Linked DNA regions of Drosophila melanogaster. The protein of the gene in region 1 interacts with the protein of each later gene in a pairwise test. Each region holds a gene or a part of one and is shown on either strand. Other genes may lie near its edges.

What was found. The genes of interacting proteins can lie anywhere in the genome.
Region 2: the proteins of geminin (region 1) and CG6333 interact in a two-hybrid assay, tested with the Drosophila melanogaster proteins (2 studies listed by BioGRID).

Annotation. Positions count from the first base shown.
Region 1 is NT_033778.4:6,654,958-6,658,590, reverse strand, and holds geminin (geminin), read left to right. Parts: upstream 1-1,996; 5' UTR 1,997-2,065; intron 2,066-2,136; 5' UTR 2,137-2,361; coding exon 2,362-2,940; 3' UTR 2,941-3,128; downstream 3,129-3,633. Other genes in the region: sced (scrambled), read right to left, coding at 1-1,079; Opbp (Optix-binding protein), read right to left, coding at 3,366-3,419, 3,481-3,633.
Region 2 is NT_037436.4:17,480,137-17,488,250, reverse strand, and holds the start of CG6333 (uncharacterized protein), read left to right. Parts: upstream 1-2,020; 5' UTR 2,021-2,060; intron 2,061-5,948; 5' UTR 5,949-6,046; intron 6,047-6,127; 5' UTR 6,128-7,385; coding exon 7,386-8,006; 3' UTR 8,007-8,114.

The DNA of each region.
Region 1 (3,633 bases):
GCTTTGCCCAATTGGCTAGATATTTGCGCAATAATCTCATTGCGAGAGATCGGCTCAATGACCGACTCATCCAGACTAATGTTTATCTCCATGCTCGACTCATGGTTCTGGGCCTCGAAGTATTCTCCAAAGGTGTCCAGCAGATTGAGTTTGGACAAGTCCGGACTTGAGAAGCTATTACGCTGAGACTTGTTCAACTGGGATGTGCGCTTTACCGGAAGCACAGGCTCCGGCGTGGGGGCATTCTCATACAGTGGCAGGACCTCATCGCTGGGTTCATTGGCCACCTCGCTGGTGCTGCCGGAACGCTTTTGACGTGAACTCCCGAACAGGTTGTCCAGCATGTTCTTGTATTTCTTCTTCTTGGCCAGCTCCGATTCGGGATTGGTGCTGGACCGCGCAATCTCGCCAAGCTGGGCGCACTCAAAAGTGTTTATTCGCTGACGGTAAGGATGTGCGGGCAGCGGTGGCGGTGAAGGAGTCTCCATGACTGACGGCTTCATCTCTTCGTAAATGCCGGATGCGATTGAGACGCGGGAGATGCGGCTGCCGTCAAAAATCTCCTCGTATATTTGCGAGACTCGCGGAGAGAGAGCGCTAGCGTCGAGGGTTTCCGGCAGGTTAGGCAGTGGGCCCAGACCTCCGGGACCCCTGCTCAGCCGGCGCTGTTCTAGAAAGACCTGGCGATAAAGTTCCAGATTCTTAATCGACTTCCGCATCCATTTCATGTGACGTCGGCAGGATGTCTCCGTTTCCAGGGCGAAATAGATGAAGCAGTCCCGCCGATTTTGCGTCCAAAACAGCCCGTACGAGTGCTGCTTCGTGCGCGAGGTAGCCAGGCTCAAGCTGACGCCCGGAACGTTTACGGAGACGCTAATGGGTTTAGCGGGGTGACACTCTTGGGAGTGAGACTCGGTCTCCATGGCCTGGAAACTGAGCCGCAGGAAGCAGGGCACACACTTAATGGCCTCTATTTTCACTTGGCAGCGGGTCCATGTCTTGTAACGCAGCGCCACTGGTCGCTTATCGTGTGTATCCAGCTTGGCGTCCATAGTCATGGAGATTTCGTTGTGGTCCATCTTGGGGCTACTGCTACGTGGTGGGGCGGATGGAGGTGCGGTGAATGAGTTGCGAGTGAAAAATAAAAAAGTAAACGATCTATATCCGCTACTTCGAGAATTACATCTTTTTTGCGACTGGGTGGAGCTCTTATCGGCTATTCTCTTATCGCACGTTTATCCTTCGTGTCCTCGTGACGTGACTGGCGTTGCCACCTGGCGGAATATCACAGAAATCGCGTTTCTAGAAGACCAACAAATGAATTTATAACTTCAATATACATCAATCAAACTTAAGGTGCTCAGCCTAAGCTACACAGCTCTTTTAAGTTCTTTATTTATACTTTTAAATGCTAAATGCTTACATGTTATTTGGACATCTTGAGTACTAGCTTAATAAGAAGGTAGTATCCAAGCAATTCTTATTTATAATCTCTTAACTAATTTACACAATCTTTTAAATTATTTTCAAGATCCATAACCAGGTCTAAAACCAAACAAATAAAAACTAAAATCCTATTTATACTTCGCTTTATAGCTATTTTAATATTTATTATTAAAAAACGCTAATGATGTTTTCAAAAATGTTAGGCATTTCCTTTTAGTATTTAAAATTCTACATCCGACATTGGGGTATATTTGACTTCTACTTGGCTGAGTATGAATTATGATTTGCAAAAGAAGTAAAAATTTAACTTTAAAATTAGGTATCTGTCTAACTGTTTTTGTCGTTTAAAACACAGGGTAGGTATGGTTTTCTTTCAATTTAAAAACATCGCTAGAAAACTGTTTCCAAAAAGTAAGCTGCATTTTTTGTTTTTAGTTTTGCTTTATACAGAAATTTTAATACTATACTTTTTTGATAAGCATCCACCAGCAAGAATACAGCAAGCTTTTATTTAATATTTTATTAACATAATTATTTAATATGAATGATTGGTAATATTTTGAAGTACTCTACTACATAGCAGTCGTAGGATTTGTTATTTTTCACATTATTTTTGTAGGTTTGTAATTATATTTTAAGGGATATCTTAATTTTACATTCCTAAAATAATTTGGTAACTTTTTGCGATAGTCGTGACACGAAATCGAGGGATGAAATTGCATGTGATGCAGCCCCTTGAGCAAACAGTGTTGGACAACAGCGCGCGGCATCGGCATTTTTTGGCGGCCATTACAACGAATGGAAAACTGTGAAGCGTTGCGCACAAATTAATGCATAAACAACAGACAAGCAAGTAGCACACGCTCTGCCGCCTGACAACCAAACCCACCGAAAGCACAATACACATCTCCGAAGATGTCTTCGAGCGCTGCCAGGGTCTACATCCAAGTCGAGACAGAGGCCGAGCAGAAGGAGCACCTGAAGCAGCAGAGACAGACCCTGAAACCCTTGCAGGGCAACGTAAACGATAAGGAGAACCTCACTGGTTCAGGGCGCGCCTCCATCGTGGATCAGCTGAGTCGTCTGAAGGCCGGCGTCCAAGTCGCGCCCAAGTACGGCAAGCGCAAATGCGTGGACACGGCGCCCGCGATTTCCACAAAGGATGCGGATACCCAGACTGATGCTGAGGCCGTTCCGCTTGGCAATGCTGACAAGCCCATCACGGCAGAGGATCTCACTAGCACAGCCGAACCCGGCGAGAACTACTACAAGCTGCTGGCCGAGCAGCGGCGACTGGCGCTGGAGGACTCGCTCACCGAAAACCGCCATCTGCACGAGCGCATCGAGGGGCTTGAGGAGGAGATGGACACTATGCGCCAGGAACTGGACGAGGCCAAGAATTTGGTGGAGGTCCTGAAGGAGATCTGCGAAGAGGACAACAGCGAGGTGGAGGAGGACGACACTACGGGTGACGAGGACAAGGTCAACGCCTAGGCTACACACCAATCACACGTTTTTTTTAGTCTAAGGTTTTACATTTAGTTGTAGTTAAATATCGCGTTTATATCCCTGTTCGTCGTCAGCCAACACAACGGCTGGTCTAATTGTACGCCAGCAATATATTTACTTGTTACACGCCAGTTATAATCCTAATAAAGTTTTACATTTGCACAATTGCACACAATATTTAATTCGTATTCCTGTATTTTATGTGCAACTTATATAAACCATTTCGCATCCATATGCTAGTTTAGATATGCTCTTTTCCTTTCATTAATTCTACATCAAAACAAATGTGTTTATTAGCTTACATCAATGCGGATGGATTTCAATGTGTGGGGAGCTAACGCAAAAATAAAATACTCAAGGTACAACATATTTTTGAGACAAATATTTATTGGATGTAAAACTGTGAACTGCTACTTAAGCCAATCTGTAATAACTTCCTCGCTGTGGAAGTTATCCACGTCAAACTGCAATAAAGGAAGAGAAAAAGGTAAGTTTGGGAAGAGATACAAAGAACTAGTAACTCACCACAACGCACTCTTCGTAGGTGGGTACGGTGCCCACGATGTCTACATCGTTTACCACAGCGTTTATGTAAGCGGCATCTGCCTCGGCTGCCGCTATCAACACCGCAGTCTCGGAATCATCGGTCTCAGCGACGTGTGCAGCATCAGTTGAGGT
Region 2 (8,114 bases), on another chromosome or scaffold:
TGCTGCCTCTGTTCGCCGCACTCGTTTTTCTGTTATTTCACACACAATTTTTTTTATTTAATTGCACACATAATGAACAATATTAAATGCTATATTCGTATGTTTGTGCGTTGAAGACACGCACTCAGCCAATTGAAAATTGTATTTGCGGTTGGGTTTCAATACAACAAATTTATCAAGCACTCACTGAAAATGGAATTGGCACTTTAATTTTTTGTTAAAATGGTCTGAGGATCTTAACAATGATGTATTTATTGATTAAGTGTGGTTTTAATGAACTTCAAAAACGAGATTATTTAATATGTTATTAGTTTTATTCGTTTTCGTACAAGTTTCTTTAGGTTTTTGATCAGACAAATTTGTCAACCAGTTTTTTTTTTTTTAATATTTTTATAGTGTGCGAAAATATTTGTATTGAGCGTTTAGAAATTTAATAATTTTTTTCTGTGACTTGCACGACGAAAATGTGTGGATTCAACTGGGTTCTTGGACACAGGTATCTTTCAGGGAATATTGGAGGTATTGGGAACCGAAAACGAAACCGATTCGGAGCGGAGCGGAACCGAAAAGTCGAGCGACGCGTGCACTTACAGCGACGTCTGAGCAGCAAAAACTCGAGAATAACCAAAGTGCGGCTCAATTTATACGAGGAGTCGAAAAACACAGACCAGAAGATACATTTACAGATGCAGATACAGATACGCGTTCTCTTTGTGTTAGTGTATCTCAAAGATACTTCTAACCGTCACTCTCTTACGCTCTCTCTTCGCTGTGGGGGTGGTCTGTCTCCGCTGTTATCGTTATTGCCGCTCTCTCTGCGCGCTCTGTGTGTTTTGGTTATAAAAGTGTAGTAGATTTTTGGCATTTATCTGTTTTTGTTTTATTTGCATATGTTCAATATGCACGACCCACATTGTTGTTGGTGTTGTTGTTGTTGTCTGATCGCGGCGTATAGAAATAATACGTATACACATGTGTATATATACACCGAATGTACATATTATCTCTCTCGCCCCCCACTCGCACTCACACACACACACTCTCACGCACCGCACACATACAGTTGCACCGCCTGAGTTCCGCTGCCCGTCGGCACAGTCCGCACACGGTAACAATTCGAATACGAATACGCAAAACGGTCTGGCGAACTGAAAACAGCCAAAACTTTTCGCCTGCGCCGACGTCGACGTCGGCAGCGCAGCTGTTTGGAGCTGTTGGGGCTCTGTTAGGCCCCCACGCTGTTAGGGCTCTGTTAGTTCGGCTGCTCTCTCTGTTTGTTATCAGTGGCGTGCGCTCTTTTATCAAATTGGAAAGGGGATTTTGGAGATCAGACAGATCGACCTGGGTTAAACTTTCAGCATACCGGAATATTAGAATACATTACGTTTATAAGGGAATAATTGAAGTGGTTTTGATAGAAGTACCAATTCTTTCATAGAAAGACCTTTATTTTGATTGAAATTCGACAAGTTTGACTTTCTCTTAGCTTGGCTTAGTGTTTTTTAACTTACGAATCACATGTAGTACACAATATTTATTGTTGCATATGTACAATAAAATACATTTTCTGCAAATGACTCAACCAAGATTTTTCGTCTGGGTGGGGTGGGTAATATAAAAAAGTGAAGAGAAGTGATGGATATTCTAAGTCTATGATTCGATTGATTAATTTCTTATTATGAGCTATACATTATTTTCACTAAGGCATGAGGAACAGCTTAAAGCCTGAAAGTTTTGCATTTCAAAGAAAAGTGTTTATGATGAGGAATTTTGGTGGTTTAATGTTCGTTACATTAATGCTCGTTACATTTTAGTTAGTTCCAGCGAAGTACTAAAAAGGAATACTTTTTGCAAAACGTGCTAAATAGTTTCTATAAGTTGCTTTGTGTGTTTACCAAGTGATTTTTGCGATTAAGGGTTATCTCTTAGGTTATGCATCTGCTGTCTGTCGGTGCAACTGACTTTACAATATAGTCTACAGTCTTGGAGGCTAATGGAATTCAGTTTGCGAAATTCCTCGAGTAACTCTCTGGTCGCCTATTAATATTCATATGTGCAAAGTACGTATCAATTGCATATTCGGCGCAAGGTCGTCTGCCAAGCGGCCAGATAGATAGGCAAACTGTCAGATACGCGTACTCATGCAAAGTCTGTGCGCAATAATCAAGCAAATTGAGTGCAACGCAGGCGATGGCGCAGCCGTATCTATTGGCTACTCTTTTGGCAAACTCCCATCGATATCGGCTCGATTCGCAGCTAGACGGCTAATTACGTGACATGTTAGACGCGAAAACAAGTTAAACACGCTCGTTCGATTTGTGTAATTAATTGCAGGCCGAGACGAGCGAGAGCTCAAAAACAAATTCACCTCGAAATGTGCATTGAACTTTTGCGGTTGCTTTTCTCGCCGCCGCCGGATGAATGTTGTTTTCCCTTTTCGGTGGCTCGCTTTTTTTGTAACCAATTCTAGTTGCAATCCGCTGCTGATAACCCGCAGATGAACCCATGGGTGTTGGAGCTTCCACATTGAAGGGGGTTACGCATTCTGAGTGGGCTTGTTGGTGGGTGGGATGGGGCACGAGCAGCTGATGCAGCTGATGTGTGTGTGTCAATGTTTCAGCTTGTAAACAAACGGCAAGCAAATAATGACAAAGTCGACAACGAAACTCCAAAAGTGTTCCTTATTGTTTGTTGTATTGACTACATCGCTGGGCTTATCGCTAACCGTTGTCAGATGGAATAAACATTCACATTTATATGTGTTGCACACAATGTGGTGTGGTATGTATGTGCAGTGGGGCTTCCTTATGACGAACTTGTATATTACATATATTCCTATAAATATTAGGTATTTTTATTGCTAATAAAATAAAAAGTAGAAAAAGCAAAAGCTTGCCATACAATTACTTTTACTAATTCTTATTTCTTTAAGCGATTTCCCTAATTGTTGTTAATTTTTAATGAGCTTGATATTTTACTACTGAAAGGGGAATTGGATGGGGAAATGTTCTTATTTAATCTTGACTGAAAGCAGGAAGCACGCTTATGAATTGGATGAGTTTGAAGCGAATAGAACGGATCAAAAGTCGGAGCTGGCCTATAATGTGTGTCAGTGGTGATAAGCAAATGCGGGGGGTGGGAAAACTATTGTATAAGATCTGAACGGAGTCACTCGATTCTACTCCTCGATCGAATACAGTTTGCATTCGTTATAAGGGTACTTGCCTCTGCCACTCCGAGTCGCCCCATTCCCCGAGTGTGCCTGCCATGACTAATTAAGTAACCAAAAAAGTATGAAAAGAAGGCAAAAAGCTGCTCAAATTCTCAGCATTAAAACGTGCCGACAACTTTGTAAAGGCTGCCAAAAATGCACATTTTTATTTATATTCGCACACAAGTTGTTGGGACATGCTTTTTTGGAGTTGGAATCGATGCGAAGGGTAACTTAGCTGACACGTGAGATTTGAATTTAGCATTTGGGATAAGTGGAAAATGAGAATTATCTTGAAAGTATCTTTATTCGGATACTATTTTAATATGCATTTGATTTTTGTCAGACTAACCATAAAGATTAATCTTTAAATATGAATTAATTAGTAGGTAATAGTAACTAACAGAATAAGTACAACAAGATTTCTTAAGCTATAAGAAATGTAAATATTTAAAGATAATACGTATGTTTAAAAGAGTTAGAAATAAATTCGAAATGAATGTGAATAGATGCTTTTTATAGTCTAGCCAATAATTTGTTAATTATTTCTTAAATAGTGAATTTGCAATTGAAAGTTCCAACCATCATATTAGAGTACCAGTGGGTGTGTTTTAAGGGGCTGAAAGTCGAATTCCTGCCACATGGAGTTTCGATTCCTGGACTCTTCTGCCCGTGTGAATCATGAGCATTAAGCATAAAACCGACATTTAGCTGATTGATCTTAATAAGAATTTTTGCGGCGGGGCGGGGCATTCGGGCGGAGGATGGCTAACGGATCCGTTGGGACGGGTCAATAACATTGTGCGGATGCCTCCTTCTGATTCTCCCCCATATGCATCCCCATATGGATCCACCGATGTTGAGTCCCTGAATTTGAGGGCGTTGCTGGGCTGCGCCTGCGCAACATAACAAACTTTGTGTTTGTTTCCCCCACTCGATGGCGTTTCTTTAATAACTCAGAGTCGAAGTCAGAAATTTTTGGAAGCGAGTAGGAGCTGGGGGGTTCCCTTGTCGGAAATCTGAGTTTGCTTTGCTGAGTTATGTTGCATAGGGTTCTTTCATCCGACTTGGTGCGCGTTTGTATCTCCCAGTATCTTGCGATATAGATATATCTGCGATTTGCACCCAGAACGGATGTCTGTGCTCGATTGTTAAATTGAAATTTGTCGCCAAAAACCAGCAGAATTTGCAAAGCAAATTTCCGACCGAAGTGTCTGGCCTGTTGCATATTTCATATGTTTTGATTCTTGTCTAAAGCTACAGCTTTTTGGCGATTCCTCTGCAGATTTATGCGCAAGTGCTTAATCGAGGCAAGGATACAATAGAGGGTGGAAAAACTGTGCCAAAAACAGCAGTTTTCATTTGAAATCTTCGATAAAATGCAAGACTTCAAGAATTTCAGATTCTACGGTTTTTATTTTTATTATATACTATCAAATGAGGGTATTTTCAAGTAATTATTTCTGATTTATGCGGGTAACCATATTTTTTCTAAGAATATTTAGTGCAAACAAACAAAAAGCCCATAAATCAATTCACTTTTATTTGACTTTTCGAGTGCATTTGATTGTTGCTCTCGGGGTGAGCAAATTGCGCAATATCTACGTCGATTTTTGGCCGTCTAGCAGGCAAATTAAATCAAGCTGCACAGCCGAACACGAAATATATAACCTGATTTCGATGTCTGCAATTCAAATTAAATGCAATTAAACCGAAATTGATAGAAACAAAATCGAACGAATCCAGCAAGCTCTGCGTCTGCTTCTCCATTTTTTTTCCACGATGGCACTTGACAGCTCCTCCTTCTTTTCTGTTCTGATTGCCTTTCCTTCGTCCTTTAGACATCTCAAATTTCGTCTAGCCGAAGTCTACGCTTCTAAGGGGCTTATAAAAAAAAGTATATATAAAAAAGAACGAGACAGAAAAAGGCCCTGGACTTCTGGTTTGGGTTTGGGGTTCGCCTGTCTGCTCCCTGTCTGCTGCGTGGTTCCTTTGTGCTTGGCTTAGATGCTAGTCGGGTTTGGACCTTTTTTTTATGTTGTTTGGGTTAGTCTGCCGAAATTCTGGGTCTTTGTTTTGATTTCGCATTTTGATATCATCTTTCGGCATGTGCAAAGGGGTCGGAGGGGTGTGAGGGAATGTCGCTCTCAAAGCCGAATTTTGTATATATTATATGCGGGATTTATAGAGCTGGCAGTTAGTAGCGAGTCTGGTTGATGCAAGCCAAATTAAATAAATAATTAAATTATACATTTACAAGTATGGAGTTTCCTTGCCTATTCATAATTATTATTTATATTTAATACATTATTAATCTTTTACTGTTTTTATTATCCCTGCTGATTCACTACACAAGAATGCTGTGCTATTTTTGTAAAATAATATTATACATAGTTGTATAAAATTTATTTATATGTTTAAGGTTCCACATAATTTTTCGTACTACAAAAAACCCAATTAAGTTCTTGTTTTGTTTGGTATAGTAGACATACAATGGCTAAATTAAAATTAAAAATTAAAATTAATTAAAATCAACATTTTCAAAGGCCTTGTTATCTGAAGTACCACAATTACATTGTACCCTTTTATAGCCTTTTAACTATTGTCATTAACTATATCAGTGATAACAATTTTATGTATTTGTATTAATCTCTCATTTCAACTACTATCTATCGTTACTAACAGTTTTCTGCCAAAACGATTTTAACTTTTAATTTGATTTGACTTTAATTATTAGGCAAAGTATCATTGGAATCTCTTGGATGAACATCATTATGGTATTTAAAGCTCTTGATTTATCAGATTTCATTTCTTTGTATTAGAAACGTAATCAATGTGAGTTATTTTTATCATTTTTATTTATTAAAAATTTTAAAATTATTATTATTAAAATATATGTATATATTTGATCCGCAGATGTTTTCGCTCATCTCTGGCGAAAAATTACTCTTCCTCAATCTTTTGGCTGCCGAAAAAGTAGCCAGACGAATGTCCACATGTGCCGGGTATGTTGTATATAGTATCTGATGTCTGGACTTTTATTGTATGGCTGACCTTGAATTTATGGAAATTGCATAAGTGGGAAGAAGTTTGTCATATTAAGAAATATACTGGAAGCATAGAAAGCCGAAGGCAGTGATGGTGACATAAACGACCAGACCTTGGCATTGTGTTGAAGGACTGTGAATCGAATTATTCGAGGAAGTTGCTTGAATTATGGCTCAAGGGGGTACTTTGAATTTATGAGTATTCAGGATATTAAGAATGTCTTTTTTTTCGCCGGCCAGCACCATCCATCCATCTTCCACACCCCGAAAACCAAACGAAATCCGCTTCCTGCTGCCAAATAATTTACAACTTGCGAATGCGATGCACAGGCTATGGGAAGAAAACAAATAATGATCAGTCGCACATAATGCATGCATATATCCATGGGCATATCGATAACCCTTATCAAGTGTGCGGCATCGCGGCCAAAAATATACAAATTATGCTTACCAAAAGGCAGAGAAAACATAAATCAATGGTTTTGGAATACTCTAACCAAGACAGCAATGTATGAAACTTCAAACATTTTTCCTTATTTCCAAATTTACTTAAGAGATATTAAGATAAGTATACAAGAAGTGCAAATTTGTTGTACCTACTTAAATATTCATATGCATACATGTATGTACATACATATATGGTTATTTGCGTGTGGTTGGTCGCCTCAAGTGATGGGCGTGGCACTTTCAACTCTGGTTCAACCCATACAATCATGAAAACTCTGACCAGATCTTGCCAAAAATGAGCCCACCTTGAACCTGAGTTTATCAAATTGCAGTCATTTTGCTTGTGGTTTTTATAGTACTTTCAAATAACTGAGATTAGTTGGTCAGTATCGTTACAAAAAAAAGGGTAAAAGTGATCGACTTTTTCACTTTCCGCCAATTTGAGGATATTTGCAGAGATTTGAGTGTTGCATGATTCATAATCGAACATTTATATCATAAAAAAGTAAACAGTTCAGTTGCTTATTTATTACGCAGAATTGCCTTAAGAGTTCAATTAACCATTAAATATTTTTAGAGGTGAAACAACGTTTGCCCTCACTTAATCGACAAAATTTGAACTAATTCGAATAAAATTAAGAGTCAGAACGAATTCACGAGTGGCTAAATTATTGTTTAAAATGACCAAGGGCGTGAGGATTTGCAACGATGGATTGCCTGGTTTGCCGAATGAAAGGCCATATTCCCGAAGAACTTTAGATACGCGGCAAAAGACTCAGAAGATGTCCTCCAGGCCATCTAGGAAACCATTGCAGTCTCTACAAACTGTCGGTCGGAATACGAGTTCCAGCCTGAAGCGCATAGGAAGTCCGATCTCCGAGGAAGAATTTGGTGTCCTGGTGCAGCAGGATTGTAAGGCAGAGCAGCATCACACCGATCGCCAAAACCTGGCGGACATAATCCTTATGCAGGCCCGTCGCATCGAGAAGCAGCAGCGGGAGATGAAAAGAATAAAGGCGCACTATGAGCGCCAGGTGTCCACCATCAAGAACAATGCCATCATGCTGGAGTCGCATCTGCAAAAGGTGCTGGCCAGTGTCGAAAGGGATCGGGCCAAGCGGATTGGCCACCACTGCCAGGACATGCTCGGTGCCGTGGAGAAGCTGCAAAGGAGCGACATCCAAGTGAAGCCGCAATCTTCGGCCAACCAATTGCTGATCCAGTATCTTCACTCCAAGAAAATTTCGCATTCGACCAAGAAGTCCAATGAAAACACAAGTAGGTACAGGAATATGTTGTGAATCGTATTCTTGTGTGTACATTGTGGTTTCACTGGGTTTTGTGGTCAGCTTAAATTAGCATATATGTGTATTAATAGAAGTACAAGTTATTATAAAATAAAATAATGG